Diceros bicornis minor: one gene and its partners. The protein of the gene in region 2 interacts with the protein of the main gene of each other region in a pairwise test. Links are inferred from orthologs where the notes say so. Each region holds a gene or a part of one and is shown on either strand. Other genes may lie near its edges. The genes, in order: GAD2, ARL6IP1, SNX12 and NDRG4.

What was found.
Region 1: the proteins of ARL6IP1 (region 2) and GAD2 interact in binary tests that used the Homo sapiens proteins (3 or more experiments, as listed by UniProt). The two-hybrid records come from large-scale screens. The link is inferred for Diceros bicornis minor from reciprocal best matches to the Homo sapiens genes ARL6IP1 and GAD2.
Region 3: the proteins of ARL6IP1 (region 2) and SNX12 interact in binary tests that used the Homo sapiens proteins (3 or more experiments, as listed by UniProt). The two-hybrid records come from large-scale screens. The link is inferred for Diceros bicornis minor from reciprocal best matches to the Homo sapiens genes ARL6IP1 and SNX12.
Region 4: the proteins of ARL6IP1 (region 2) and NDRG4 interact in binary tests that used the Homo sapiens proteins (3 or more experiments, as listed by UniProt). The two-hybrid records come from large-scale screens. The link is inferred for Diceros bicornis minor from reciprocal best matches to the Homo sapiens genes ARL6IP1 and NDRG4.

Annotation. Positions count from the first base shown.
Region 1 is NC_080775.1:25,385,110-25,392,616, reverse strand, and holds the start of GAD2 (glutamate decarboxylase 2), read right to left. Parts: upstream 3,012-7,507; coding exon 2,936-3,011; intron 2,259-2,935; coding exon 2,199-2,258; intron 2,012-2,198; coding exon 1,862-2,011; intron 879-1,861; coding exon 645-878; intron 1-644. UniProt on the Homo sapiens protein: Catalyzes the production of GABA.
Region 2 is NC_080765.1:33,438,723-33,446,550, reverse strand, and holds the start of ARL6IP1 (ADP-ribosylation factor-like protein 6-interacting protein 1), read right to left. Parts: upstream 3,010-7,828; 5' UTR 2,936-3,009; coding exon 2,900-2,935; intron 715-2,899; coding exon 581-714; intron 143-580; coding exon 23-142; intron 1-22. UniProt on the Homo sapiens protein: Positively regulates SLC1A1/EAAC1-mediated glutamate transport by increasing its affinity for glutamate in a PKC activity-dependent manner.
Region 3 is NC_080781.1:64,391,719-64,398,908, forward strand, and holds the start of SNX12 (sorting nexin-12), read right to left. Parts: upstream 3,012-7,190; 5' UTR 2,958-3,011; coding exon 2,793-2,957; intron 1-2,792. UniProt on the Homo sapiens protein: May be involved in several stages of intracellular trafficking.
Region 4 is NC_080771.1:11,749,902-11,757,173, reverse strand, and holds the start of NDRG4 (protein NDRG4), read right to left. Parts: upstream 3,007-7,272; 5' UTR 2,958-3,006; intron 1-2,957. UniProt on the Homo sapiens protein: Contributes to the maintenance of intracerebral BDNF levels within the normal range, which is necessary for the preservation of spatial learning and the resistance to neuronal cell death caused by ischemic stress.

The DNA of each region.
Region 1 (7,507 bases), on a different chromosome or scaffold from region 2:
CTCCCCCCCCTTTTCTTTATCTTCTATACAGAGTAACTTTGAGGCACACACATCCTTATATAACATGGCTGATTTGTTAGGCTAGTTTGTATTGTGTTTTCTTTTGTGTGCATCTCTTTAAAAATAGAGAAAACCTGGAGTTCAAATCTGGAGTACTGGCTATTTGAGACAATGCCAAAATATTATCTCTCTGGTTCTATGATTACATAGGGTGGTTTGTCCAATTTCTGGCCATTTCTATGCCAAGGAAATTACTAGCACTACACTGGTATTTGGGTTTTTGTTTGGATCATGTCTTTTTAGCTTTCATTTCCATATTCCCTATCTGTCTCCATTTTGGGTTGCTTCTACTGGCCTCTGCTGACAAATGCTTGCTTCTACGTCAGGGGTTAATTCCCATGGCCAAATACGTGCAATGTAAAATCTGACAGTTTATCCTTAGATCATGTTTCTGATATCAACCTCAGAAGCATTAACACATTAGTAAAGGATGCTTTTGACTTTAATTATTCTAATAATGACTATTTTTAAAAAATAACTGTTATTTTGAAAATAGTAACTTCATGAAAGAAGAAAAGATTTTTATAGAAAAAATAAAAATTGTAAAAGAAAAAAGAGCTTTATTATTTCTGATTGGACAATACCTGTTTTAATTGCATATTTTAAAGTTGTTTGGCAATGCATCAAAATTTCCTCCAAATTTTGTGGCTGGTCTGCCAATTCCCAATTATACTCTTGAAGAAGCTCATTAGGGTAATGGAAGTCAATCACTTTGGTTGATCTATCGAAACTTTTCACCACATACTGAAGCAAAATGTCCATAACATCTTGCAGAAACGCCAAAGTGGGTCTTTCTCCATCACACGCTGGCAGCAGGTCTAAAGAATGGAATCAAAATGCCATATTTTAATTTTACTAGGAAAATATCCAGGTAAGATCTTGATTTAGCAGTTTCTCTTTGAACCGAGAGATTTCATATTTTTTTTTTTAAAGAAAGCTTTTGGAAACGCAAAGCATTTTCTTTAAAGGGGAGGTATTTTTCAAAGACGAAGGAATGAGAGAAATTACGATTTCTCCCCCAACCCCAAATTAATTCTTGCATTTCAATTCATAACTTATTGTTTGTTTTCTTTTGTAAACAGAGTGTGCCTCCATTCATCTATTTCACAGGGTTCGTCCTAAACGTTATTTCTCAGTAAATCATCTTAAATGATTATGGAAATACTTCACATCAGAAATATTCTTTGGGTGAACCAGGCGAAGTGGATCGTGCAATGTTAGGATATCCGACCTGTTCCCAAGGCGCGCAGTTTCCAAAGTCAGTGTGTGTGTATCTGTGTCTGTGTGCGCGCGCGCGCGCGCATGTTTGGGTGACTGCGCGTGTAGGCGCAAGGGAGTAAAACCGCGCGCAGGTCTCACGTGAATAGAATCGTTCTTCTGTGAAATCAGAGCTACAAATTACTCCTGCGATCTAAAGACCTAGAAAGTCTCAGCAATTCTGAACTGGAAACCGAGTTCCACTCGAGAGCTTAGCGGCACCAAGAAGCCGACCTCGAGCTCCGGCGCGCGCGGGCGCCTCGGCCACCCGCAGACCCGAGGGAGGCGCTAGGGGAAGAGCGCGGCGGCCCCAGAGCCCCCTTGGAACGCCGGCACCCAGAGCCACGCAGGCGCCAGGGTCGGGGATTGCATCGAGGGGGCAGGCCCAGCGTTTCTGGATTCCAGATTCTCGTAAGGTCCGCCTCCGCTCTCCACCTGGACTCCTCGGGTCAGGCTCCCGGCGCCGGGTCACTCCTAGCCGCGGTGGGCGGGGCAGAGCGAGGAGCAGTGGGCTCGGGGCGGGGGGGCCGCGACGCGCCTTTACCTGTTGCGTGTAGAAACGCATAGTTGACATCCGCTTTGGAGCAGCTGCAGGGCTTCTGGTTGCAGGAGCAGGCGGCCTTCCGGGAGGTGGCCCGCGGGGGCTCGCTCCCGCCGCTCTCCGCCGGCTTCTCGGCGTCTCCGTAGAGCAGGGCTGGGAAGGACACGGAGCGCGCCGGTCAGCCGCCCGCGGGGCCGGGCTCCCTCGCCCCCGCCCATCCTTGACCAAGAAACTGCGACTCCGCTGATGGGGATGCGAAGGCGAGAAGGCAGCTCTGCCCTCGCGGGCCCGGAGGCGCCTGGCCAAGTCCGCCCCCATCCCCCGGGGCACTGGCACTCACCGCATAGCTTGTTTCCGATGCCGCCCGTGAACTTCTGGGCCACCTGACACCAGGCTCTCGCTGCAAGGAAAAACAGGCAGGAGGACAGCCAGGCAGAAAGAAAACAGCAGACGGACGTGTGAAATTTCGTTCCACGTGAACAACGTCAATAAATCCGGGGTCCAGGAGGGGCCGCCCGGGGCTCGGCACATCCGGCAGGTGCGGGAGGTGCGCGGGAGCCGGGCGGCCCGGACCGGCCCTCGGTTCGCTGATTTGTTTCTCAAGGAGCCCAAACTGCGGCCCTTAGCGCCTGCCTTCCAGGTGCCAATCGGTCAGGCAAACTCCCCTTCCCGCCTCCCTCGGGCGAGTTTTCCTAGACGCTGAGGCTATCCATTTCCTCGCAGGCTCTCCTCCAGACCAAAAATTCTTTCCCCTTTCTCCTTTCCCCACCACCACTCCGTTTCTCTCCAGGGTCCAAACACCAAGATGGTGGCAGTGCCCCAGGCCCACGGAATTCGGTGTCGAGGAGACGCCTCGGTGTTTGGGGGGCTCTCCCAGACTTCTTTGGGCATCTTCTCCAGGGATAAGGACCTGTAGGGGGTTTGGTCTTTGGGGCCATCAGGGACCTACTCCAAGAGTAGGGCGAAGCGTCTTAAGTTTCCTGTTGCAGGTGGAAAAACCTCCTTCGTCTTCCTCCTAGCCCGACAAACCCCACTCCACCCGCAAAGCTCGCCTGCTGCAGGTCTCTGTTCTCCTACCTGTGCCGGGGTTCTCGGGATCCCCGGAGCCATCTTCAGACCCGAAGGACCAAAATCCTGAGCCGGGAGATGCCATCGGCGCTGCAAGACTGGAGCAGGTAGCCTCCGAGTGCGAACTGTCTGCGAGCTGCCCTCGGCTCGGCCCTGCGCGCGCGTGCGTGCGCCTGTGTGTGTGTGTGTGTGTGTGTGTGTGTGTGTGTGTGGCGGGAGGAGGGCACCGCACGGGGACCCACGCGGCCGCGCGGCAGAGAGTGTCACATAGGGACAGGAAACGTGCGTGTCTCTTTCTGCGTGCGCGCGTGTGTATGCGTGTTGGGATTAGAGCTTAGAGACGTGGCGACGCTCTGAAAGCGGTGGAGGTTAAATAGGGAAGGGGACCGAAGGGTCCTCACAACCGGGAGATGAGAAAGCACGGAGCGCGCGAGTGGTTTTGAAGGAGAGGGAGCCCAAAAGGGATAGATGAGGGGGCGGGGGAGGGAAAAAAACGGGAGCGGGAGGGTGCTGAATCGTGAGGGTGCGAGGCAGACAGTGCGCACGAACTGGAGTCAGAGCGTGTGGGTGGGGGGCGTTCGGGCGAGCCCCCGGAGAGCACGAGGCGTGAGGGTGCGGGCGGCCCCCGCCGGCCCGGATGAGCTATCCAGAGTGCTGACGCGGCTGGCCGCGCGCCGGCCTCAGCGAGGGGTAGACCAGAGAGACCTTGGCGAGGCGGGAAGGGTGGCGGAGGCGAGCGTCTTATATACGCACCGATTGGCGTATTGTTTGAGATCTGGCTCCGGCTGCGGGGAAGGAGACGCGATTCTCGTTCGGTGCTGAGGTAGCTGTGACCTTGAGAGCCCGGGCGGCTGGGCGGAATGAGGATCGGTTCTCGAGCTTGGAGACGGGACGCTGGGGGAGGAAGGGCGCCTACGCACTGATGGGCTCATTTCAGCTCCTTGGTAGAGCTTGATGCCTGCCTATTGAGCCGCGCGGTCCCCCGGCCGCACCATTCCTGCGCCTCGGAGCGCGCTGTCGCCCGACCCACCATCCAGGTTCTGACTGACGGCAGGGGAGAAAGACGGCTGATTGAGGCAATTAAAATCCATGCTGGAGTCTATCACTGAGGACCTCGGGCTGGGGAAAAAAATAAAACGAATGGGAACTTCTTGTAAGGGGGCGAGGGAGAGCAGCTAGAGCTCGCAGGATTGACGGCTGATGGGGGATGGGATCGGGTCATTTGGTGACCTTGGCCCGGGGAGGCGTGGAAGGACCGCTGCTTACGTGTGACGGGAATCGGTGTGTGCGTGGGAGGCGTGCACAGAGTTTCCAACCAAGCAATCTGAGCTTTCCAAATCCGAGGCGGAAAGAAGGCATCTCTCGCTGGGCCTTCGTTTTAGCGGGCCTCAAATCAATGACCTCCTCCCACCCCAAGAGAATCCCGCACGATAGTGGGAGTGGCTGGGCGAGATTCGCTATTTCTGATGCCTGGTGGGAAGGGGTTTCTCCTTTCCTGAGACAGTCAGAGTCTCCCCTCTCTTAGTTTCCCTTCTCTAAACGCTGTTAAACAAAGGAAGGGCGCCCAGAGAACTTGGGGCTCGCTGAGTCCTCGCTGCTTTCCCTTGGCGGTCGAGAGCAGCGTCAAGTACAACCTTGCCGCTCCTGGGTTCTCTGAGAGAGGGCGAGGATGAGACGGGGGAGAAAGCGCTGCGTTCGGCCTCCTGGGGCGCGCATTCCCCACGCGCTGCTCCCCTTAGATGAGCGCTTTTCATTTCCATTCTGTTCACAATCCGTTCTTTCTCTGACCTCCTGAACCAAGTCACCAAAGCTGGGGCCAAGGCAGAGACCCACGGATCCTCAGTCTCGGCTACCGCCCCTCGATCCTCGCTCAGGAAGGATGTCGTGGGCCCCGGGATGCCCGCGTGCAAGCCCAAGTCCTGTGTCCCCAGGTCCGTGGGGGCCTGGTCAATTCTCTCCCCAAAGCTTTGTCCTCTTCCCACGTGCCCGAGCCGGGAGGATGCGTGGCATCAGCACCGCGGCCGCCGCGCCCCGGCCTGGTAGTGGGGACGGGGAAGGGCGCTGGCAGGGTCCCACCGGCTCCGCGTAGAGCCGGCTGTGCCGAGAAGCCTGCACCAGGCTGCGGGCGCGCGGTGGGCACGACCCCAGGCCCCAGTTCCGTCCCTCTGTCCGGCGCTCCGCGCTCCCGGCTCCAACACTCCAGTGGACCCAGGTAACAACTCCAGGGATGTAAAGACTTCGTGGTTCCGCCGTCTGCACCGCGGGCAGGGCAGCTCCGCACGCCTTGCTCCAGCAGTGTAGATACGAGTCGGAGAGACCGGTTCTTTGTTTAAATCCACACCAAATCCACTGCTAATGTTCTGCTTCAAGCCAGCAGGCTGGGGCTGCAGAACTTTTCTATTACGGATGAGTAGTCGAAAACATAAAAGTTCTTTCAAACAAGGGTTTAACACAATACAAAGGCCCGAAGGAAATAACAGATTAAAACACGAGGAAGGTAGAAATCGCAACACCTGGATTGAACGGATTTTTTAAAAACGCAATGACTTAAAATGCTACTATTTCGACTCCATTAAATCCCGCAGCTCCGGAGTCCTTTGAATCTAACGGTGGTATTTACATTTTTTATTTAACACACCCTACTTCAGATGCACACGCGGATCTGATTTGTCTTTCCTTCTCGCCGTCCCTCCCTAGACGGCAATTTGCTTTATAAAGACTTTCATTTCGCAAAAGAGCCCACTCCCCCCTCTCTCTGGCTTGGGGTTGGAGATAACAAAAGAGCTCAGGGAGGTAATAATTACAGTCATTAGTTCACAAAGGAGGCAGCCACCGAGTGGGGAGGGGAGGCGGGCCAGCGCCAAGGAAAAGCTTTCCAAGGCCCTTCCCCGAATCAGGGGCGAGAGACCCACGCTCTGTGGGGGGGCTACCAGGCCGGGCTCCTTGGTTGACCTAGTTCTTGTCCGTGGTTTACCCGGAGATCGTGTTGCAGGCTCACCAAAGGAGAGTGTCTGGTATATGTTTTCCATTCTGTCCTCCCAGTGCTTAAATGTCGAAGGACAAAGAAAGAAGGGGAGATGGAAAGAGAGAGAAAGAAAAAGGAGAGAAAACAAAGACATACAAAAGAAAAAAGGACAATAAAAACATTGCAGCCTTTCACCAAACGTTTGCCATTCTTTTGTCCAGTCCCACTTAAAAGGGTCGGGAGGAGTTTAGGGAAGGGGCCTGTTGCCTCCCCATCCAGCAAGGGCAGGGCCGGGCTGCCAGGGCCACTCCAGAAGCCTGGATTGAAGACAGGGTCTGGCAGCAGAGCGGAGCTCGGCATCCCCCACCCCTCCGGGTCTGCTGGTAGTGGATGGACGTGTGGGTTGGGGCGGAGGGGGCCGGGCCACCTCCAGTTACAGATATCCGTCCCTCCCCCTAGCCGGAGTACGGTGCCCCGCGGCGCTGGTTCCGTCGTGCTAGGCCCAGGCTGCAGCCCTCCACAGCGGAGCCGTCGGTCTGCACAGTCCGGGTGGCTCCTTCCTCCGGGTCCCCACCCGAACGGAGGTCGCGGCGCGAACCCAGGGAAGGAGCGGGACCTAGAGCGCACCTGGACCCCGATCTCAGCCCCGCCACAGCGGGAGGCTTCCCCTCGCGCGGGTCTCATCTGTAACCTGGGGACCTTTCGGCGTCCACATCTTGGGTTGGAGAAAACCTTACACCCAGTGGGCAAGCGGCACATCAAACGTTATTAGCCGGCTGCACGCGCCCTGACTCTCCCCTGGGCTCGGAGTTCATGGGTGCAGGAGCCGAGGGCACCCACAGACGGGACAAGCCCGTCCCAGCCAGAACTCTTCTCTCAATTCAGTCGTCCATGAAACCACCGCGACCCCCTTCTTCATCCTCTGCAGGCCGCGTAGACACGGAGGGTGTCAGTTCCGAGCTTAACCCTGGTTTTAAAATACGATGCAGTCAACTGAAGAATGCAAACCTCTGCCCACCCACTGCCCTCCCCTACATCTCAAATACACCAAAGTTCGGCGCAGCGGAGATTGTCTCAAATCTGCACACTAGGAAAACCTGAAAAATCTGAGTTCAGCTCAGTGCCTGGACCAGACTTCTTATAGGCGGGGCCAAAGGAAGCCACCTTGGTTGGGAAGGCTTGTTTGTGTGTGTGTGTGTGTGTGAATGTGTGTGTTTGCCCTCAGTGTGTATGTGTGTGGGGGGATTTGTCTGGAGGTCACGTTTGTATGGCAAGTGCGGGGTTTTAACTGAGACGATATGTTTGTTTGGGGTGGCTGGTGGTGGTGGGGAGTTGTTCGCGGATGGAGACAGAAAGTACCTCACTCCCCCTCCCTGGGCACCACCACCTGCACAACCAGACGCAGGAGCCCGGCCCCAAAGGGGAATGTGGAGCACCAGTCCCGAAAGCCACGGATTTTACAAGGCACTTCCTTTATTTAGTAACTTTAATAACCAAGGGAAGACAGAGCTTGAGTTTGAGAAGAAGGTCATCTTCAAAGCTACCCCCTCCCCGGCCCTCCTCCCGTCGGGGCTTTGTTCTGTTCGCACGGACTCAACCCGTCCGCGAGTGTCCCG
Region 2 (7,828 bases):
GCCAAATCCTTGGGCCACCTACCATTTATTGGAGCCAAAAATTCTAGGTGCCAGAATGGGAACAAGGTAGTCAGCCAAGCACAAAAACATAACAAAACAGGAAACACCGGACAGAACAGATGGATCTAGATAGTAGATAGTCCTGTTTTAAAAAAAAAAAAATTAATAAAGGTTAGAAAACCATAGTTATTATTATTCCCAGCTGAAGATGCTTATTCACTGAGTCCTCTGGTTCTCAAAGATGTTATTTGCCCTTTTCATTCTAACTTTCTCACAAGTGGTTTTCCAAAAGCTTCATGACATGATGACATCATAGCTGCAATGGTTAATGCAAATACCAAGAAACAAAAGCTCTTTGGGGTCCTCAATACTTTTTAGGAGTGCAAAGGGTCTTTATTCAACTGCATTAGGTTACTGAGTTTACATAAGTACTACAAATTCTGAAAACTAGGCGAACTGCTCTAAGGAAAGGCATTCTTTACAGATTATACATTACACAAAAGACTAAATGAAGGCTGTGTATGACCTGAGCCCTTACTAATAACAAGCACAATCCATAGCAATTGAACAGTGCACTTACAGAAACACCAGAGAAACCACCCCCATGACGGCAGGTGGAAACCAGGCTCTCTCCCAGCGCAGGACCTTGTCAGCCATCAGCATCACTTCTCCCCATCCTTGCAGCTGCTCCTCCAGACTCGCAGTCTCTGCAGCCTACGCATGACCAACATTTAAAGCGGTCATTTTACCACTCTCAACATTTCTGTGGTTCCTAGAGAGTTAAATTCTTCCAAGGCACCAAGTGTGTGTGAAATAGCTCTTAACCAAATCACTATCTTAAACAAGTTAGTTTCCAAAAAACTGCAATTTTCGTACCAAAGACAGAAATTAATGGGGAAAAAACTATCATTTAATGGTCCCCGTCCAAGTCCAAGTACTGGGCTATTATTTACATACACGATGTAACATAATCCTTATAGAGCCCCTCAAGGTAGGGACAATTAGATCCATTTTACAATGAAAGAAAGCGAGCTCAGAATGGTTAACCAACTTTCCCAAAGTCATGCACTAAGTGGCAGTGCCCAAAGTATAAAATTAGATCACTTTCAATTCCCCCATTTCAGGTAGTTAGAACTGATCTGCTGTTTTGTCATTCCATTGATTTAAACCCCTCCTTCTAAATCCATTAGGAAAGCCTCTCCCTGAACAGCAATTTCTAAAATAGCTCTTTGTGTAATGGAATCATTTAGATGTTGACATCATTTACACAATTAAGGAAAACTCGCCAAATTATAAGAAGCATTTTAGCTCAATATATCTCCTTAATACAGAGCTTCTTACACTTATCAGGACATTTTAGTTAGACCTCAAATTTCTCTGCAAATCTGACTATCAGCTGAAAGCAGACTTCTAGGATGAGCTAATGCGGCAAAAAGCCCTTAAGCTGATTTGGGTAGAGGAAAAAAAACTGGAACATGTCCTTATAAATGTTATTACAGGGAAACATGCAAATAACAGGGGAGAGTGCAGCTTAATCTTAATGAAAATGCTATCTGAGCCACACTGATCACACTTAGGTGTCAATATTTCTGACTTCATATACTATGCTTAATATAGTTAAATAAGCAATTACTATGTGCCAGAAACTCTGCTGAGTATTTTATATGCTTATATTTTAATCCTCCCAAAAAGTTAAAAGGAAGGTGGCGTTACTAACCTCATTTTAGAGAAGAGGAAGCTGAGCCACACAAAGGTTAACAGATGTGAATCCAGGAAAAAATAAGGTCAAAGGCCTCGCTCCCCTTAAAGCTACACTGCTCTGCTGGGCAAGAGCAGCTGAGCACCAGGCCAGGATCTGTCATTTCAACAGCTGTGTGAACCTGGGCAACTTCTTTGTGCTTCAGTCAATCCTCTTAAAAGCAACCTGGCTAGGGCTAACTAAGCACAGCACTGAGAAGGGGTGTGGTCTGTGTGTGTAACGGGGCAGGTCATGCGTTTCTAAAAACCAATGCAAAATGAAAATCACGCACAATCAAAACTGCCCTGCAAAGTCACTTAATTCGTTAGCACCTGGGCTCTCGGAAAAACCAAAAGTGAAAAATTAAATTCTTTGGTTCCTCTATTCATTGTGGTTGTGGCGTGTGGCCTGTCTTTCCCTGGGGAAAGGCAACGGAGAAAATGCACGGATTTCTCTCGTTTTTGCCTAGATCATGCCGTGAAATTCGCAGAGGGGTTACACTTGCCCGCCTGGGATACCATCTCACTGCGGTTCCTTCGGACCCCTGCTTATTTCTGAAGTCGTCCTGAGACCCCCCCCAAAGGCTTACAAATTCCAGACCAACGCCAGGACGCCCACTGTCCTTCCAGCTGGACCCCACGCCCAGTTCCCCGCGGCGAACTCGCAGCCTCCCTGCCGTTTTAAGCTGTGCCAGCTCTAACAACCGGGCAGCAGCCCTTTGACCCTCCACTCCTGTCCAAGTCTTGGGGGGAAAAAAAACGAAAGGACATCCAGGTTAAGATCAAGAAGGGGGAAACCCGGATGCGGCTGGGGCCTGGGCCCCCAAAGCGCTCCACAGGCCCCTCGCGGCCGTCTGGCCCAGGCTGCACCCCAGGCTCGTCACAGCCCCCTCGCCCACTTCCTACTCAACCCTCTTCGTGACTGATCACGCGCCCTCCTCGGCCGGTCCGCACCTTCCCCAGGGGACGTCAGGGGTCCACACGACTAGGGACTGCCACCCAAGAAGCCCGAGGGGCAGGCGTCGTCGCCTGGCCTGGGAGCCGGGAGAGGAGGGCCGGGCCCGCCGCGGTGACAGGAACGAGGCCGCAGCGCCGCCTCCCTGAGCCCACCCACGTCCGCAGGCCCCGCTCGGTTCCCCCGCGACGAGGCCCCGGGGCTCACCAGCAGGTTGGTGCTGCGATTATCTCCCTCCGCCATCGTCCCCGAGGTGCCGCTCAGCGAGCGCCAGCCACCCTCCAACGCAGCCTTACTGCAGGACCCGCACAACGACTCCAGCGCGAGGGTACGCCCCGCAAGCCGCTTATATAGGCTGGCTGCCTTTCCCGACAGACCCCGCGAAGCTCGCTCCTCATTGGGCAGATCGAGCTCAAGCTTAAGGGGAGCCGGACCAACCGCTGCCCAGCGCATGGCTTGAAATCGAGGTCAAAGGCGAGCGGGGCCGCTCCGGGCCGAGGGGGCGGGGCAGGGACTGACCAATCAGCGCCCAGGAGATGTGCGACGCCCCGCCCAGGCCTCTCGGCAGCGGTTGAAATGCGGCCGCCCCGGGTCTGGTTTGGCCTCGCTGGCCCCAGGCGTGGACGCTGCGGTCGTCTTCGGAGCCTCTTCTGCTGGAGTTCAGAGCAGCTAAGGAGCCTCTCTGGAATTTAGTCCTCGAAGAAATATGCCACGCATATCAGGCGGAGGGCAGAGATGGGCCTGGGACGCTAACCTCGATGTCATGAAGGGGGTCGGCTGGGACCCCCTTCCCCACCAGGCGGGTGCCCCCCGCCCTCGCTGTGCCCCTGGGCGGCTCCCCCTTTCTTCTAATCCCCGCTCTGGTCAGGCCACCGGGCGGTTTAGCCCAGACTTGTGACTCGGAGACTCGTGCCCACCTCTTGAGGTTTTGAGGACAAATGAGAAGAGCTATTTATGTAGATTTTTTGCAGTTTTTCCTTCCTACCCATTAGTAATACGGCCTTAGCTTGATAGGGAGGGAGGAGGATCTGGGTCTAGTTTGAGAACTTGTGAAAAATGCACTGACTTATCAAGTTGGCTTATTTACGTGGAGTCTTTAAGGAAATTCCTTGTGGGGCACTTCAGTTACTTAGGAAACTGCGAGCTCCCTATCCAAAAAAGGACTCGTTTTGACAGAACCTTTCTTACACTGTAAGTCATGCTAAGGAAAGATGCAAACCGTGGGATTCAGAGGCAATTTAGGAATTAGATGAACTATGTTGAGACACTTCCTTTTCTCTCCAGGATTTCAACATGCATTAACAAGTGCTTTGATTTTCTTTACTTGGTACAAACAAAATCAGGCCAAATGTTGACCTGGTCACATTGTCTGTTTCAGGAAAATTTATCATAGCTTTTAACTTCCAGCCTTTTATCCTTTTATAGTCATCTGTATTATGCCATCGAATTTAGATTACTTTAAAAGCATTCCTTAAATAACTACCAGGTTCTTAAGAGTTCAGGGAAGGCATAAAGAAATTTGAGAATACAGCTATAGCGCACATGCAGCTCCTAAGAGAACCAGGGGGGCAGGAACATTGTGAATTTCATGAAAGGGTGTGAAATTTGCCATGGATCTGTGAAAAAAATAAAGCAACTGGATTAGGTATCAACACTTGGTGGGGGGGAGCCTTTGCAAGGGAAGGGGCCTCTTCAATAACGTGCCACTTTGGGGGATGTTGGGGGAAAAAAACAGGTGATGTATGCAGTCACATAGAGACCCCATTTTGGGAGACTTTAAAGCTATCGAGTCGCAAGCCCTCCCCTACCTCTTCAAAAGAAAATTAAAAGGTCCCTAACAATCAGCAGCCACATAATAGTGCATATGTTGAGCACTTTGAAGGCAAAATTTGCTTACAGGCACAGTAACATTCACTGCCAAAGGCGAGGCCAAGGAGTTATTAGGCTTTAAACATCGACATTTCTACTTTTGGAGATCAGCTTTTGCTACAGAATGCTTCTGGTTTTCACCCAAGTTCCCTATGTACAACTTAAGAAGAAAGACTTTTCAACACCAGCTTGTGAAATTGAGGTAGGTGAAAAGAATTTAAGTAACTCAAACAGCAGAAGTTCTCCATGGAGTATTTTTGTTACTCAAGGAATGTGTTCCCAGACCTATCTGCAACTTCAGAGCCTAAGTGCTGCTGTAAGGTCTGTCTTTAACTTACAATTGGCCTTATTAGAGGGAAAAAAAAAAGCCTACCCTTAGCGTAGCTTCCTTTTGTGCTGTTTTTGTACTACAAGGACAGGATGTGATCTTTTGAAACGTGCCAAATGACTTAACAGTTAACATAAACCCTCCTAACATAAACTAGCAGCAACAAATGCAATCTGATTTCCAGATAATGAAACAAGCTGGACATTTTAATTCTGTTCTCCTTCTGAGCTTTCATACCCCAGGGAACATACATGTCAATAATGTTCTACAGTTTTGTTTAAATATTGACAAAATTAAGCTTAATACATTGTACCTTAATACTAAGAACTTTCCCACTGAAGTAAAATTTCCACTGCTGTTCAAAAATAGAACTTGGAGGGTAAAAAATTTACTTTTTAGAGAATTAAGCTTTAAAAAAATTTTTTTGGAGGTATTAATGCTTAAAAAAAAAAAAAACTACCCATATTCCAAAATTAAGTTTTCTGGAACCTACTTCAACCAATAAATTCAGAGCTTAAATGCTATGTCTTTTAAGACTTTATTTTTTGAAAAACAGGTATTTCATACAATCTTTGCCATGTTAATGCAAATATGCAGAACATAGGCATGTATTTTTGTTTTCCAAAAGATGCATTACGAACATTTTCAGGAAGCTGGTGTGATTTATTCAACTTTTAATCTTAAATACAATCACAAAATTATACCCATCAGGAGGCATTACAACCTTTTGTACAGAGAAGCCACTTTATTTATACAATGTTACTGGGACAAGGAAGATTCAGTTCAACTCAATTTGCTCTTATAATAAGGGTGAAGGAAATTAACAAGTAAGTGAAGTATGATGGTGCCACTGACATTACAGCTGGAAATATAAGGAAATTTAAACCAGAAAAATAACTGACACAAGAACTTTAAACAAGAGCTGAAACTTGGACTTGCAGGAAAAGAAAAAGAAAAATCAGCCTGTTTTGAAAGAAAGAAAACATTCTACAAGTCTGCATTTCAAAACAAGCAGTTCCTTAAGTTTACCATCTTCGAAAGTCAAGCTAATTGTATGACATTTTTACATTAGCACAACAAACAGCTTTTCCCTAGTAAGCCCAGTCAAATTCCCACAGAAAGCAAGAGACTCTAAGCAGTTCATGTTGTACCACTAACCCCTGAACCTATGAAGCTTCTCTCAGCCTGAGTCCATTTGCCCTCCTGTAAATAAGGGATGATGACAGTTACCCAGGCCTAAAAAGCAGGAAAAGTGCAACACACCCTTAAGAGGTTCATAATACAGTGAATTTCCCCTTCCCCAATGTCTGGAAAAATCTATAATGCTAGCTAGTTTTTCCCCACAGGAGGAAACTTTCTAATACAACCCAACTACTTTCTTTAAGTGACCCTTATTTAATATATTCTACCTCCTTGATTTAAGTGGGGGGAAGTCCTAGCTCTAAATTACTGGCATTTTACAAGCTCAAGAAGATATAGAATGGAAGGTCAATGGTTCTAATTTTATGTAAAACAAAGGTACTTAAATTGCTAATAATAAAGCAGTCACTGATTTTTGATGTATATGAATACGACTAACAGGCTTATTGTAGGTGCTTTCTTCAATAGGAAAAGAATTGGGAGAAAAGAAGAACCAGCTCCTTTGATTTTAGTACTGCCAAAACAAGTAAGCCCCCAGAGTAATTACAAATATGTGGAGGAAAATAGGCCAGGAAGACTTTTCAATTTAAAGTACTGCCTATAAAACCCCAGATTTAAAAGGAACTAAGATTGCACATCAACTGTAATATTTGGCTGTACTTGCATTGCCCTGCTCGGCAGTTTTTAATGGCTCTTTCCTTAAGTTTCACACATCAGAACAACCACAATTAAAAAACAAAAACAAAAACCTGCAATTAAACCAAGGCAGATAACACCAAACATTGGACAATATTAAGAAAACTACATACTAAGCCTTAAGGTAACAGAGGCAAGTGTTAAGGGCAGAAGTGATGGAAGTTTTTCTTTGTATTATAAACCCTCACCCTGAACCTGGGGTTTGGGGTCTAAAAAAACCATTTAGGGAAGCAGATCAAGAGGCTGATTATCAGTTCTCACACAGAAATCTCACAGATCTCAAAAACAACTCACCACAAGTGTCAGACACAAAAGAATCTTAACAATCACCTAGCAAACTGTTAAGAACTCATAACCGGAAATAATGATACTGCAAGACACACCAAAGAAACAGAGTAAAAGAGAAACACAGATACAGCTCCATAAACTACTAAGCCTCCACTGCTTTGTAGAGAAATCAACTAAAATTCAGGCAATTCTAGGAAATGAAGACAACAAAACACTTAAGATAAACTTCAATTTCTAAGGGTACTCTGAATTGAGGAAGAGGTTGTAGGTTATTCTGTACCCCCTGAATCTGAGAAAGAGAGAGAGAGAGGGAGGAAGAGAGAGGAGGAGATCCCTGGTTTTCCATAGGTATTGTGTATCATCAAAAATGTATGACTTCATAACCACAGCACTCTAAACTTTACATTAATTTACAAGATAATCCCCAAAATATAGCCTTGTCTTCTCATTCTGCTATTATCACTGGGCCTTTTACCACTGATTAAATCTCTAACTGAGTTCTCTTACAACAGTTCCAATGGCAAGGCTACTTGCAGAATGACTGCCCAGAGGAAGTCAACTGTACAGACTGGAGGCCCGTTGTCGAGTGCAGTAAAGAGCAAGCTTTGAAGTCACCAGTTATTCATATCTGCCCCACAACCAAACAGGTATATGCCACAGTATTCTCTGAGGGACCATTTTAAAATAAAAGCGATGGATAATTTACCAGAGGCACATGTTGATATAAAGCTGTTTTGTTTTTGCTTGGATAAGGTGCCAGGTACCTCTGAAGCCTGAATTTCACAGGCCATAAAATTCACCTATTTCATTTATCT
Region 3 (7,190 bases), on a different chromosome or scaffold from region 2:
AGGGAAAGGAGAGAAAGAAGCAAAGTTCAAGTCCACAGGACAAATGACATTTGAAAAATTCCATACACATCATGTGAAGTCACCAGGACACCTCTCCAGACTCCTCATTTCTTGAGGAGGTGGGGGGAGGATTCTTTCCTGAACAAAATGAAAGGGAACAGCTTCAGAAATATTTAGCTATTATACAAAGAAAAAAAGTCAGTGCCATCTGCTTCTACCATACCCAATACCTAACTCTCAAAGCCCATTCTCTGAGTCTCATGCTCCCTGTAACGCCTACATCCATCAAACACTTAAAATAGCAATTTAAAACCAAATGACTGGGCCGGCCCCGTGGCTTAGCGGTTACGTGCATGCGCTCCGCTGCTGGCGGCCCGGGTTCGGATCCCGGGCATGCACCGACGCACCGCTTCTCCAGCCATGCTAAGGTCGTGTCCCACGTACAGCAACTAGAAGGATGTGCAGCTATGACGTACAACTATCTACTGGGGCTTTGGGGAGAAAAATAAATAAATAAAATTATAAAAAAAACCAAATGATTTTACAATTTTTCCCCAAAACAGAGTTCAATAAAAACATTAAAAGCCTATATAGCCATACAAATTAACATAAACAATACAAACTAACTCAAACTTGCGGAACTAGGAACTGCCATCAACCCTATCATCACCATACAATTAGAAATTGTGGAAAAGACAGATGAAAAGCTTAGCGGGTAGACAAATTTTGCACACTAAAGTTTTGCAACTAAGCATTGCCAAAGAGGCAGAAGTGTAGTGGAAAGATTGTGATGGGCTTTGGGGGTCAGACAGACCTGGGTTCAAACACCAGCCCTGCCACTTATTATCTATGTGTACTTGGGCAAGTTACTTAAACTGCATTCCTCCTCAGTTTCCTACCTGCAAAATGGTGTTTTCATAAGGATTTAGAAACTAAAACCTAGTTCAGTGCCTGGCACATTGTAGGCACTAGATGAACAGTCTCTGTTGTTATTAGAATGCCTGAAGTACAGAGCTATTTTATCCATAATCCCTAAGGTTCTTGGGTAATGCATCAAGACAATGTCTCCAAACCTCACAGCAGAGAGTCCTTATACTGAACAAGGTATGCCCAGGCTTCCTCAGGTAAAGTTCTCTACCACGAACAGTTTCCAGCTTTTATCATATTTTGAAGGATCTAATTTCTATTCTTCCCCAAAGAGATGAGTTCAAATAGTTCTTTTTTCTTTTTTTGTGAGGAGGACCAGCCCTGAGCTAACATCCAATGCCAATCCTCCTCTTTTTTTTTTTGCTGAGGAAGACTGGCCCCGGGCTAACATCCGTGCCCATCTTCCTCTCCTTTATATGAGACGCCACCACAGCATGGCTTAACAAGAGGTGCATCGGTGCGTGCCGGGGATCAGAACCGGTGAACCCAGGGCCACCACAGCAGAGCGCGCGCACTTAACCGCTTGCGCCACTGGGCCAGCCCCCAAATAGTTCTTATATAGACGAGTTTTTCTCATTTTTTGCTATTCGCTTTTCTTTCTTCAGTTTGGACTTGGCCTAACTTGGAATTTGGAGATCATCATTTCTCAATTGGATTTCAAAGCCCAGGTACGAGAGCACAATCTCTCATTTATTTCATTCATTCATTCAAAACTGAAAGCACATACACTCTTTTACGTCTTCAAATGCTATCTGAGCAGCATGCTGTCCATAGAGAATATTCTGGCCTTGTAGTCTGAGAAGAAAACATAAGGAAAATTACAAAATGGTTCTCAAACTTTTTTGCCTATAACCACTTCAACTGGGCAAAAGAACCTGCAAACTGTGTACTCTATTCTGCACATTCCATCCTTGCACTGTGGACTAAGAACTAGAGAATAAAGTCCTCTGCAGTGCACACTGGCAGAAGCCACTCCTGGGGCAGTCCTGAAATGTCATCTATTAAAGTAACTACAGACCAGGGTCTGAATCCAGAAGGTTAATCTAGGACAGAAATGAGAGCCAATAAATATTAAAATCAACATTCTGGATACTTCACATCTAAAAGATCAGCACGGAAAGCAGAGCAGCTACTGACAATCCCCCAATCCCAGTGCAAGGCCAGGTTTCACAGAGAGACACAGCATGTGGTACCTGAGAAAACTTAAGCATAAAATACTTCTCTCCTTCAGATGCTAATTCTACTCAAGTCCGGGAAACACTCGGTTTCAAGGAGACTCCCTTTCTTCTGCTCCACCAAGCCCACTGCCTCCCTTTTCTGGAGTCTATTTTCCCTTTAATCCAGGCTTTGTTTAACTCCGTCATCCCAGGGAGACTGCATTAGGAAGAAGCCGGGTCTTCCTGCTGTCCCTCTTCAGACTGACTTCCCACAACATAGTTTAGTTATGGGACCCAGTGATATATCGCCGTGGCTTTCCATCCCCCAGCCCTCTTCCACTCTTCCTTCTTTCCTTCTGTCGCTACAGTCATGATTTCTATTTCCTTGATTCTTCACTCTGATCTCCATCCTCCTCACCCCATCCAGCCATGCTTCGCTTCTTGCTCCTGGGTACTTGTTTTCCCTCACCCCGGTCCGATGTCCCCCTCAGGAGTTTTCTGTACCCTCGAGCCACAACCGAGTCTGCAGACGTCTCTCCAAATCTATTAAGCTCTACTAACCCCCAAATGACCCCTTCAAGCTTCTTCTCCACCGTTAGTCGTCCCTATGGCAGCCTCCCCCACCCCGCCCTCCCCGCCCAGCCGCCCGGTCCTCCCCGCCCAGCCGCCCGGTCCTCCCTCAGCTGTCTCCCTCACCCCGTGACTCACCCGCATGCGAACCTCATAGGTGGTGAAGCGCGCGCGGCCCACGCCCACCGTCTGTGGATTAAAGATGTCGATCTCCAAGAAGTTACTTGGCGGCCCATAAGCGTCGGTCAGGTCCTGCGGCTTCGAGTTAAGGCGCCGAGTGTCAGCTACTGCCGTGTCCGACATCTTTCCGAAGGAGAGACCGGGACCAGGGAAGGGGGGTAAGGGACAGAGGCCGGAGGGAGGAGCGCGCACGGCCCCTCCCGCTTGCAAAGTAACCAGCCAACCCACAGACAGCGGCGCCGCGCACGCGCGCCCACGCACGCACGTACGCACGCACGCGCACGTTGCCCCGGCCCCAGGCCCGGCACCCTGAATAGCGGCCAAGCTGGCGGTTGTCTGTGCTGTACAGAGGACGCGTCATTCAGGCTTCCGGGTGGTGTTTGCGGCTGCCCCGGAACCTGCATTTCCAACACGCACCACCCAATATCCTGGGAAGCCCTCCAGGCGCTATGCGCCAATCGCTGCTCCTCAACCCAAGAAATTGTCTTATATACCATGTATCAGTCAGCAGTGGGCACTGCCCCGCAAACTAGGATCCTACAGTGATCGGCCAAAGTCCCGTGACCTCAATAAGTCAGGGTTTTGCGCAAAAATAGAAGGATGGTCTCCGGAGGGTGGGGTTCCAACAACAGTACTAAGAACCCAGAACGAAGCCTCGCCACTTGTGCGACTGATAGTTTCCATTCATTCCACGCGCCATTGAGCACTCAATGAGCACTATCTACGGTGCCAGGAAAGCAGCGAGGATGGGGTAAACAAAGATGATTTCTCATTCTCACTTTTCAGGAAAATTTGGGCATATCTTCATCCTCCACTTGTTGCCACATAAAAGCTAACTCCAGGTGTACTCAGGTATTACATTTCTCAGCAAATTGAGGGCATTTATTTCATACCTTCTATCTCTACGCTGCAGAGCTCCATACTTGGCACTGCTCTGAGGTTGCTTGCAGCCCACAATAGAGAGAGAATACATGTCTACATGAGAATATCTATAGAAATATGTATTAATATTTATATGACTAATTTACTCATCGCCCACTTGAAGGGGAAGTGCCCCACATTAGGGGTGGTGATTTTAGGTCATCCTTTCTCTTTTCTGCACCTGCCCTCATCTGCTCAAAAAAATTTCCCGTGTCACTGATGCCTGAAATTCCTTCAACAGAGTACAAGGCCCTATAATTTCACAATTAAGTTATCTAATTCAATTTAACTGATATCTTCTAAGCAACTACTTATGTGCCAGGCACCATGCTAAACACTAAAGACCTAGAGTTGAATAAGCGAGTTCCTGCCCTCAAGGAGTTAACATTCTAGAAAGGGAGACAACTAAATAAAACTGATATAATGTGACAAATACAAAATAAGCGAATGTTCAAAGCAGCACACAGGACATGAATAACTGGAGGAATTAGGGAAGCCTTCCTGGAGGAGGAAACATCTGAGCTTGACAGACATGAAAAGATGTAAAGGACAAATAGAAGTGGAAACGGTGAAAGGTAATTTCTTGCAGAGAGAATAGCATGTGCAACGTCATTCCGATAAGAAACAGCATGATATTTTTAGGCAATTATCACCACTTTGGATTGTGTAATGGAAGTGCTTAGAGAGGTAGGCTGGCTGGGGACGGGCAGCTGAGGGTTATACTTCTATATTAAGCAAATGATCTCTGGCTTTATGATGTAAGCGATAGGGAGCCACTGAAGGACCTTCAACAGGAAAAAGACATGATCAGATTTGTGTTTTAAAAGGATTATTTTGCAGGCAACATGGAAGATGTATTTGAGTTGAATGTGACTAATTAAGAGAGTATCGACAATAAGACTTGGAATCTGGTGGTGATGGTGGGAATGGAGAAAAGCGAGGAGATAGGACTGAGATTGAGGAAATAAAATAGATAGGACTTGTATCTGATTAGATGTGATGGTAGTATAGTATAGGGCTTAAGCATGTGAGCTATGGACTTAAGCTATCTGGGTTGAAATCCCTGCTTCCTAGCTATATAACCTTGAGCAAGTTATCCAAACAGTGTTCATCTGTAAAATGGAAATGATAAGACTAAAAGCTACCTGTGGGGCTTTTGTGAGAATTAAATAAAATACATGCAAACAATAAGTGACCAGTAACTATTCACTATTACTACAATTTGAGGGGAGAGGGACGAAACTGAAAATGACTCCTAGGTTTCTGATTTAGGTAACTAGGTGGATCCTGGTACCACAAATCAAAACTGGAATTACAGAAAGAAGAGTAAGTTTGGGAGGGAAGACAATGAGTTCAGTTTAGATAAATCTGGGGTGTCTGTAGGACATCCACGTGGAGATGTCTAGCAGGCAGCTGGAAATACTGGCCTGGAGCTCAAGGGTGTGATCAGGGTTAGAGAGAGAGATTTGGGAGTCGTCAGCGTACAGTGTAGAAAGAAAAATGTGAAGAGGCAAGGACAGAAGATTTAAAAATTGGTGAAGGCGTGCAGTGTTGATGAGAGTGTAAATCCATACAATCTTTCTGGGAGGCAAATTGGTAGCATATATTTAAAAAACCTTTGACCTCAAGAAACTTGTAATACTGCTTGTCTCTGGAGAGCAGAGCTGGAGAACAGGAGTCAGGGATGGCAGGGAGAGTTGTTTTTCATTTTCATTTCATTTATGTCTAAGTACTTTTGTATTTTTAAAAAATTTTTAATGTTATTTACCAACTTTTGACTCGAAAATTTCCCTTCCAATAATTTATCCTGAGAAAATAATCAGATAATTACATAAAGATACCAGTATACCGATCTTGTCTTTTTTTTTTTTTGTGAGGAAGATCAGCCCTGAGCTAACATCCATGCTAATTCTCCTATTTTTGCTGAGGAAGACCAGCTCTGAGCTAACATCTATTGCCAATCCTCCTCCTTTTTTTTTTTTCCCCAAAGCCCCAGTAGATAGTTGTATGTCATAGTTGCACATCCTTCTAGTTGCTGTATGTGGGACGCGGCTTCAGCATGGCCAGACAAGCGGTGCGTCGGTGCACACCCGGGATCCAAACCCCGGGCAGCCAGTAGCGGAGCACACGCCCTTAACCGCTAAGCCACAGGGCCGGCCCAGGATCTTATCTTTAAGAGCAAATAATTGTACATTTTATGCAATGGAATATTTGTAGCCATTTTTTTCTAATTTGTGAATTTGTTTATATGATGAGTCTTACAAAGGAGTAGTGGGTTCTATATTTTACAGACTTTGTATCTCAGTCACTTCCATCATAAAACTCAGTCTCCTGTGTAAATGGCCAAATTCAGGGTTCTCCTATGTATCCATTTAAAATAATGTTCTATACTTGTTGATATGGAATGATGCCCACAAAAAAAGTGAAAAAAAGCTGGTAAAAATATTGTAATATGATACCCTTTGTATTACTGTATATGATATATATAATAATTTTTAAAGACTTGAAGGATATAAATCAAAATGTTAGCAGTGGTTACCTCTGTGTGGTGGGGTTTCAGTTGGATTTTATGGTTCTATTTATAATTTTCTAAAAGACCTGATTTTTAAACAATGAATGTATTTCTTTATATATATTCTTTATTTCATCAGAAAAAAAAAAGCTATTTCCATTTGAGAAAAAAATTAAAGGGCAGGCATGGGAAGAGAAGCTTATGAAGGAGACCAGGGAAGAGTGGTCATAGAGGTAGAAAGAGAACCAGGAAACAATAGTGATCTGAAGGGGAGGGATAAAAAAATGTTTCCAAAAGGAGCAAAGAGGTGGTTAAAAGTGTTGAATACAGTAGAACGGTTAAATAAGATAAAGCCTGAGAGATGTCCACTAGATTTGACAGTTACCTAAATGAGAGCAGTCTCAGCAGAGCACTGGAGGTAGAACCCAGACTGCAGTGGATTGAGAATTAAATCAGAGGTGGAGAAGTGGAAACATTTAGTAGAGACTATTCTTTTGAGAAGCTTGCCTAAGAAAGGAATGTGGTAGCTAGAGGGCAATGCATTGTCAAAGAAGGATTTGTTTGATTTTTAGAGAGAAGAGACTTGGATATGTTTAACAGCTGGGGGAGGGGGGAAGGATTTCATAGAAAGTGAGAAGTTGAATATACAGGTGAGTAAAGGGATAAGGCTTAAAATCAAATAGCCCTAGGAGAATTGTGCAAGTTAAATTCACAATGAGGTGTAAATATACGGTCTTTTTTTAAAGAGAAAGATTTGATAGGGCAGAGAGAAGAGAGTAGACAGTACTGGGCTAATTAAATCCTTTGCAGTAATAGCGCGATAACAGCTGTTACCAGCTGGCTTACACGCACACACCTTTTTGCTTTTCATGAAAGGCACAGAGCTTCACAGTTACCAAGTGATGTTGGGCAAGGCACAGGTA
Region 4 (7,272 bases), on a different chromosome or scaffold from region 2:
AAGATGGGTCAAAACCTCACAGCTGCATGGGAGCAGGGATAAAGTGGGCTGCGGACAGACCCAAACTTCCCAGTGGCCAACCAGCCAGGGCAGATGGAGAGCTCCGTTACAGGGACAGCCATGGTCCAGGAACCAGAGCGGAGACAAAGCCGGCGAGGTGCCCACCAGGGCAAGGCCCCAGCACCTGTGTTCTCTCAGTGAGCCTCGCGCCAACTCTCAGAGGGAAGGGTCAACAGTTCCATCTCTAAGATGAGAAAACTGAGGTCAGAGAGGTTAGGCGACCAGTCTGAAATCACACAGCTGGCCGGCAGTGGGGCTGGGATTTGAACCCAGATCCATGGGACAAGGAAGAGATCAGGAAGGGAGTTGGAGAGAGAGCGAAGGCTGTAAAGACCACCAGGCGGCGACAGAGGGATGCATGATCTCCCAGGGCCTCGTGAGAGGTGCAAGGGGACCCTGTGACTGATGACAGTGACTGAGGGAGTCCTGTGTCAGCCTGGCCAGGGGCTTAGAGAGTCTGCCAGAACCAGCTGAGCCTGTCTGATGAGGGAGGAGGGGCTCTGACCCTTGTACCCAGAAGATGAGGGCACACTGTTTCGGAACCCCAAAGCCTGGACCTCCAGTGGAGTTCCCCATACACGCCTCCTGGGAGCATTCCTCCTCCAGGCTCTTCTGGTGCTGGAAGAGGAGAAGGGGAAGGATCCAGGAGTTCCGTCCTGCATGCAGGGCTCTAAACACCGCTGGGGCTGTACAAACTTTCCTCGGGGGAGTAATTAACAAGCTCAACGGCCTGTGCAGTTCCCTTCACAGTCAGGCAGCCCGCCTGCCTCAAGAGAGCTCCACAAGGGAAAGTTGGAAAAGGGATTGGAGGAGCGCCAGCCCAGTGGCTAACTGGGCCCAGAACCGGCACTTCTGAGCACCTGGCCAGAGTGTCCAGGGCTCCAGGAACAGCCCCCACCTTCCCTTCTCTCTGAGCCTGCCAGGAGCTGAGGAGCAGCATTGTTGATTTAACACGGACTCACAGCCTGAAACCTCATTAGACCTCATTCCCTGCCCACCTCTTCCCCTGCCCCTTCCGGGCCCTCCAGCCTCCACATCACTCCTGGTTCAAGCCTCCCACACACCTCAGAGCCTCTGCATATGCCAGTCCCTCTACCCTTCAATCTGTAATGCCGCCCCCCTCTCTAGTAATAGAAATTCTGTCTTCTAGGGTCCAGTTCAAATGCGCCACCACGTGCTCAAACCTCTCTGCTCTCCTCACATCCCGACTCAGACTCCAACCTGTCTCCCGCGTGCACCCCACACTGCTGCCCCCTTCCCTGTCTTGTAACAGGGCTCCTGTGCTCTGTTCTTTTGCAGCAGACGGTAAGGTCCTGGAAGTCAGGGTCCAAACCCTCCCAGGTGCCAGGGGACATTTACCGGGACCCACGTGTCCATCCAGTACACACTGATTGAGGGCCTCCACGCCCAGGCCCTGGCCGGATCCTGACTGTTGCCCTTTCCCAGCCTCCTTCCTCCCGTCTGGGTCTCTCCACAACCTCCGCCCTGGGAAGACCACAGAAGCCGCCTGTGTGATTTGTCCTTTATGCCTGGAAGAGCATCTCCCACCCCCTTCAGATCCCCTCTGTCCCTGTTGTCTCTCTGCCTCCTCTTCCGGGCATAGCTCAGTGTCCTCTGTTGATCTCCAGCCCCAGCACCCTGGATGTGGTTTCCAGCTAGGTGTCTGGCCACTTCTCCAGAGCAGCCCCAGGGCTGAGAGTCCCCCGTCATCAAGGTCCAATCTGGCTTCCCACTTCCCAGGCCACTTGGCCTCTACTCCCAGCAAGAAACTTCTCCTCGGGAGAGGCGCTCAGATGGTCACAGCGAGCAGGAAATAAGAGGCCCACGGCAGGGGTCCTGCCAGGAGCCCAGGGCGCTCCTTGCTTGGGGGACCGAGGGACACTGATTGGAGGGCAGGGGCTCTCAGCTCCCCTCCCCCCTCTGGAACCCGGCTAGTCGGCTAGCCGGAGGGTCCAGGGGGGCCGTTCCCCTGACCCGAGCTCCGGCCGCACGCGCTCTACCCGCCGGGACGCCGGGCACCCGGGACTCAGAGAGCGGAGCCGGGCGAGTCGCGGCCCCAAGTCCTCTCCAGGGGCGGGCTCCGCACAGGAACAGGCAGCGCACAGGCTAGGAATTCGCTGGCATCCGCACCCCCTCCTCCTGCTCGAACCCGAGCCGCCCCAAACCCCGGCCACCGCGCCTGGCTCCCGCTCCAACTCCGAAAGGGGCTGGCGGCGAGGGCCGCGCCGAGGGGCGGCCGCGGGCAGGGCGGCCGCGGGCAGGGCGGGCGGTACCTGTCAGCAGTTCGATCCTGTGTCCCAGCACCTTCATCTCGGCGCCCGGCGCTGCCCGGCTCGGGGCTGCGGCGTCGGGGGAGCGCGCTCGGCCGAGCCGGGGAGAGGAGCGCGGGAGGCGAGGAGCGCAGCAGGAGGAGCAGCCGGGAGGCAGCCGCGATCTCGCCGCCCCCCTTCCAAAACGGTTAAAAAAAAATCCACCAATTGCACGACCGCGCACCCCTAAAAGGCGCCCGCTGCCACCTGGTCGGGGTGAACTCCGGGAGGCGGAGGGAGCGCGCGGGGTGGGTGCGGGCGACACTCGGGGAGGCGGCAGGAGGAGCCCTGCGCCCGGCGCGCGAACAAAGAGGCCCCGGCGCCCCCGGGCGGCGCGGTGGGGGAGGCGCGGGCCGCAGCGGGGCCGTGGCCCTGGGGGTCCCCGCGCCCAGCGGGGGAGGCGAGGAGGGAGAGCCCGGGGGTGGGGGGCAGGGTTGCCGCCCGCGCGTAGGCGAAATATGGCCCCGGCGACCAGGCGCCCGGCTCGCGGGTCTGGGGTCGCAGGGGGAGGCTGCGCCGGGCGGGGGGCTGGTCGCGGTCATCACGGCAGGAGGAGCGGGGAGACGGGCCGCGGGGCCGCGGACTCACCGAGGGCGATGCGAGCGAGACAGACGCGCAGGCGGGGAGCCGGGCCTCGGCGCCGCCGCCGCCAACGCGGGTGCAGGTGCGGCAGCCGGGGGCCCTGGCGGTGCCAACGCTGCCGGGGGCGGGGGCGGGGGACGGCGCGGGGGGCGTGCCCGCGGGGTGTGGCGGCCGTGGGCGCTGCCCGCGGGGCTGGGCGCGGCCTGGACCCGGGGGGCCGTCCCGGGCGCTCATCGGCCTCTTGCCGCGGCGGGAGCGCCGGCTGGGTGGGCGAGCGGGACGCTGCGACCGCCGAGCCCAGCGGAGACACGGGTCGATCCGCACGCTTCTCACCTCCCGCAGGCCCGGAGGAAGGGTCCCCGCCGCTCGGGCTCCGCCGGGTGCCGTGGGAGGCTCCGCCCGCCCCTCCAGTCCCCTTGTTGGCGCGCGGCGTCGGGTGTCCGGGGGAGGGGGCGGCCTCTGCCTCCGGCTTTGTTTGGATTCCCGAGGGGAACCCCAGCGCGGTGGAGACAGCACCCCCTCCCCAGCCCCTGCCCCCGCCTGGGAACCGCCGGGGAAGAGCCCTGGGGGGTCGGGAAGGACCAGGTGCTCAGAGGCCCTTGGGACATCGTCCCCGGTTTTCAGAGCCCAAGGGTTTCCTTGGAGAACTCAAGCGGGAGTGACTGTCTCCAGGCAGAGATGTTCTGGGTCCGCAGGGTCGGCACCCCATCCCCCAAAATTTGGCGAGATCCCTGCTCCCCTCAATTGCTCCTCCATTATCTGAGCGGGAAAGGGAACTGGGAGACCCCTGTCTTCCTCAGGCTCACTCTGGTCTGGCCCAGTAATGTTGTTCTCACCTGTCACCCCAAAAGAGGGAGCGCCGGAGCCCCTGGATGGAGTCCTACTGTAGGGAGAACGGAAATCTGATGACGTGAAAAAATTTACCTGGGCAGGACGGCTCAAGAGGAGGATTCCTGGAGACCCGGGTTCCATTCAGCCTCTGCCGGTCACCTTGGGCGGGGCTCTGCCGCTCCCTGATTCCGGCCTTCTCGGTGCAGAGCGGATGTGTTGGAGCGGGTCACCTGGGATGTCCAGGATGGCAGTGGCATGGGAGGTCAAGAGGATTCTGCAGGCCCCCCGCCGCCCCCACCCCCCACCTGCCCTCCATCTTCTCTTATCTGAGCTGGGTTGTGGTCAGGTCCCAGCTTTCCCTCAGCTCCAGGCTTCCGTGGAAGCTACTTTGGTGTTGAATTAACTGACTCAGGGGATGAGGAAGCTGGTAAGATTTGGTGGCCCCAGACGGTGTGCATGTTCCTGCTGGGGTGCAGTATATAAACTGCATAGGAGGCGGCAAGGGTTCTCCTTACCGCTGTGGGGCTAACCTTGCGGAAATCCCTGCCTCTCAGTTTCCTCATTTGTAAAGGGGATGGGGGGAGGTCAGTGGTGACAGAGTAAGCCTCTATGTCCAAAACATCCAGGAGACTGTGGTTCTATATATACGAGCCTGGAGCCAGTCCTTAAGAGCACAGGCTGGTTCCACAATTTCTCGGCTGTGTGATGTCCAGCAAGTTACTCATCCTCTCTGAGCCTCCGTGTCATATTCTGTGCAATTGGGATGATACTGACCGCAGAGAGCTCCTGTAAGAATTAAATGATGGAACGTAAAGAAAGTGCTTAGTATAGTGCCAGACACATGGTGGAAATATTCAACAAATAGTTGCTATGATTGTTGATGATGGAATTGTTATTATTGCATTAGAAATTCTTTCAGGCTTTCCTGAGTTCTACCCTTTTTCAGTAATTTCAGACCTAGTCATTGAACAAAACTCATTGTTGATGTTCTAGTAACCTAATTCACGAGGTCCAACCTGTTCCGAATTCCTTGGAGGACCAGAGGCCCAGGAGGATGTAAAGGCCTGCCTAACAAGAGCTTTGACACTATGGCATGTGGAATGTCATGGAATGACATTCTGTGTGGAATGCCATCTGCCATGGTCTTGAACTAACGTGGATGATCCACTTGGCTCAGATAATTTATAAACCCCAAGTAAGCATTCAGGTGGGTCGGGTTGAGGATTTGAACCCCTATAAGTTGAGACTTAATAGATGAAGAAGAAATGTGGTGTTAAGAACAACCCCTTCCCATAGGGGCTATTACGTCAAGCACAGGTGCTTAGGGAATAGCCAGGTAGAGGGGCCCTGGCCCTTCTGGAAGAGTCGCTCATGGGGGCAAAGAGGAGTCCCTGCTGAGTCAGCAGAAGGGCAAGCTCTCAGTCCCTTCTGCTCCCAGGTTCTCTTTATCCCTGCGAGGGAGGCTGGATGGCAGGGTTTTTAACAGAGGAAAGCAGAACACGGCAGAGGGCCAAGCTGTTGGCTGAGACAAGAACCTCTAAGATGTGTCCCCCCAGCCCTGCTCCTTATTACCTGAAAGATGTTGCAAAAGTCGTTCCCTTCTCTGGACTCCCCTTTTCCCATTTGTACCACAGGCAGGAGAAGGCTGGCCTCCACCCTGGCGGGAGGTGAGACACAGCCTTTCTGAAGATCTCTCTGAGCCTGCATTTCCCCATCTGGAAACTCGGGTTAATAAATCAGTCTCGTAGTTGCAGGAAAGAGACCCCTACTCTGGCTAGTGTAAGCAGAAAAGTCCTTTGTTAAAGGGAGGGTGGGCTGCTCTCGAGATCTCAGGAGGCAGGCCGAACATTGCAGCATTAGTCTGGTGTCAAAACCGCTGCTGCCGCCCCCGGGCTTAGATGCTGAGGCCAGCGTCCCTGGGCAAGGATACTGGACACGGCCATCAGGACCATGGCTGCCTCTGAAGCCAGAGGTGGCACTGCTGCCACTGCCGCATCCTCGACAGAATGCATCCTGTGTGCTTTTGGCTTCCTTGTGTCACCAGTTTCTAATTCACAGTCAAGAATGGGCGTGTCCGATTGGAGGCGCACACCTCAGGTCCTCTGCCAAAGCTGCAAGGGAGGCAGGGAAAAGGTGTTTTCGGTTCTTTTAGTGGGAGGTGGGCTCTGCCTCATATGAAGGGCGTGTCAGATGCTGGTGGCCAAAAGAGTGACAAGTGCCCACTTCAGATAACAATGGACTTGTTGTGGAACTGCTGTGAGATGATGCTCGTGGGCACTTAACTCAGAGCCTGGCATGGAGGGAACACACGATCCCTGGTCGCTGAGATTCGTAGCACACCGCAAATCTACAGTGTCAACCGATGGTGCCCCTACATACTTCAGTCTTTGATTTTTTAGCAGGTGAAAGACAAAAGGACCTTGAAAACAGTACGGCTTGCTGCCCTTCCAGATGCAGAGGCAGCTCCGGTCCCGTTGCCAGGAGGACAGGTGACTGGGTTTTTCCATTGTGGTGATGACTTGGGCTGAGTCACCATCCTGCTCCAGTCCCCTCGTGACCATGACTGGGAGCAAGTGAAAAGAACTAGCAGGTGGAGTCGGGGGCGCACAGGAGCCTGGAGCCATGGAAGCTTCCTCTATCAGCAGAAGGAGGGTGAGCAGGAACTGTCCCCCTCATCCCCCGGCTAACACCCCTCACTCACTAATCACGAGTCAGGTGACCTCAGGGAGAGACGAGCGGATCCTTTCTCTTCTTTTCTAGGATCGGGTGAGTGCCTTTTTCGTGCCCAGCCCTGTGCTGTGGCGTGCATTGGAGAACCAGAGCTGACCAGTGACCTTTAAGGTTTATGCACTGATGGAGGAAACCAGCTCAGAGTCCCATAATCTAGGTACTGGGCACACTCTGCTAAGATGTGCAATTGAGGTTACCATGCAGTACAGTGGGGGACCTGGAGGAATCAGCAAGGGCTTCCCGAAGGAAGAGGCATCTGAGCCTGCAGAGAGGTGGAATTTCAGCAGATAGAGATGGGAAAGAGAGTGATTGGGGGAGAGCAGCATCCACCCGTCCGTCCATCTGTCCATCCATCCATCCATCATATGTTGGGTCAGCCAAGCCATGACCTAAGCTCGGGGAGGCACAGAGCTCAGCACGCTGAAGCCCTGCCCCCAACAGGAGCTCGGGGGTTGAGGTGGAGAATGCTGGGCATGTGTGAGCAGATGGTGAGGAAGCTGGGACCAGCAAGTGGGCAGGGGTGAGTGCCTGGCCCCAGTCTGGCTCTGGAATTTCACCAGCCACCAGATTGTCTGCTCCCTGCTCCTGGGCCACCCTGGACCACTCACTGACTATGTTGCCACCCCCTTTCTCCCACAACGTGTCAAGACCCTCCTCCCTCAAGGCCAGCCCTTTGCTCTCCAGGTAACTCGAGACACCCACTGTCTGCTCTCCCATCCCAGAAGACAGCAGACCCCCTCCAGTTCCCTTTGAAAATGCC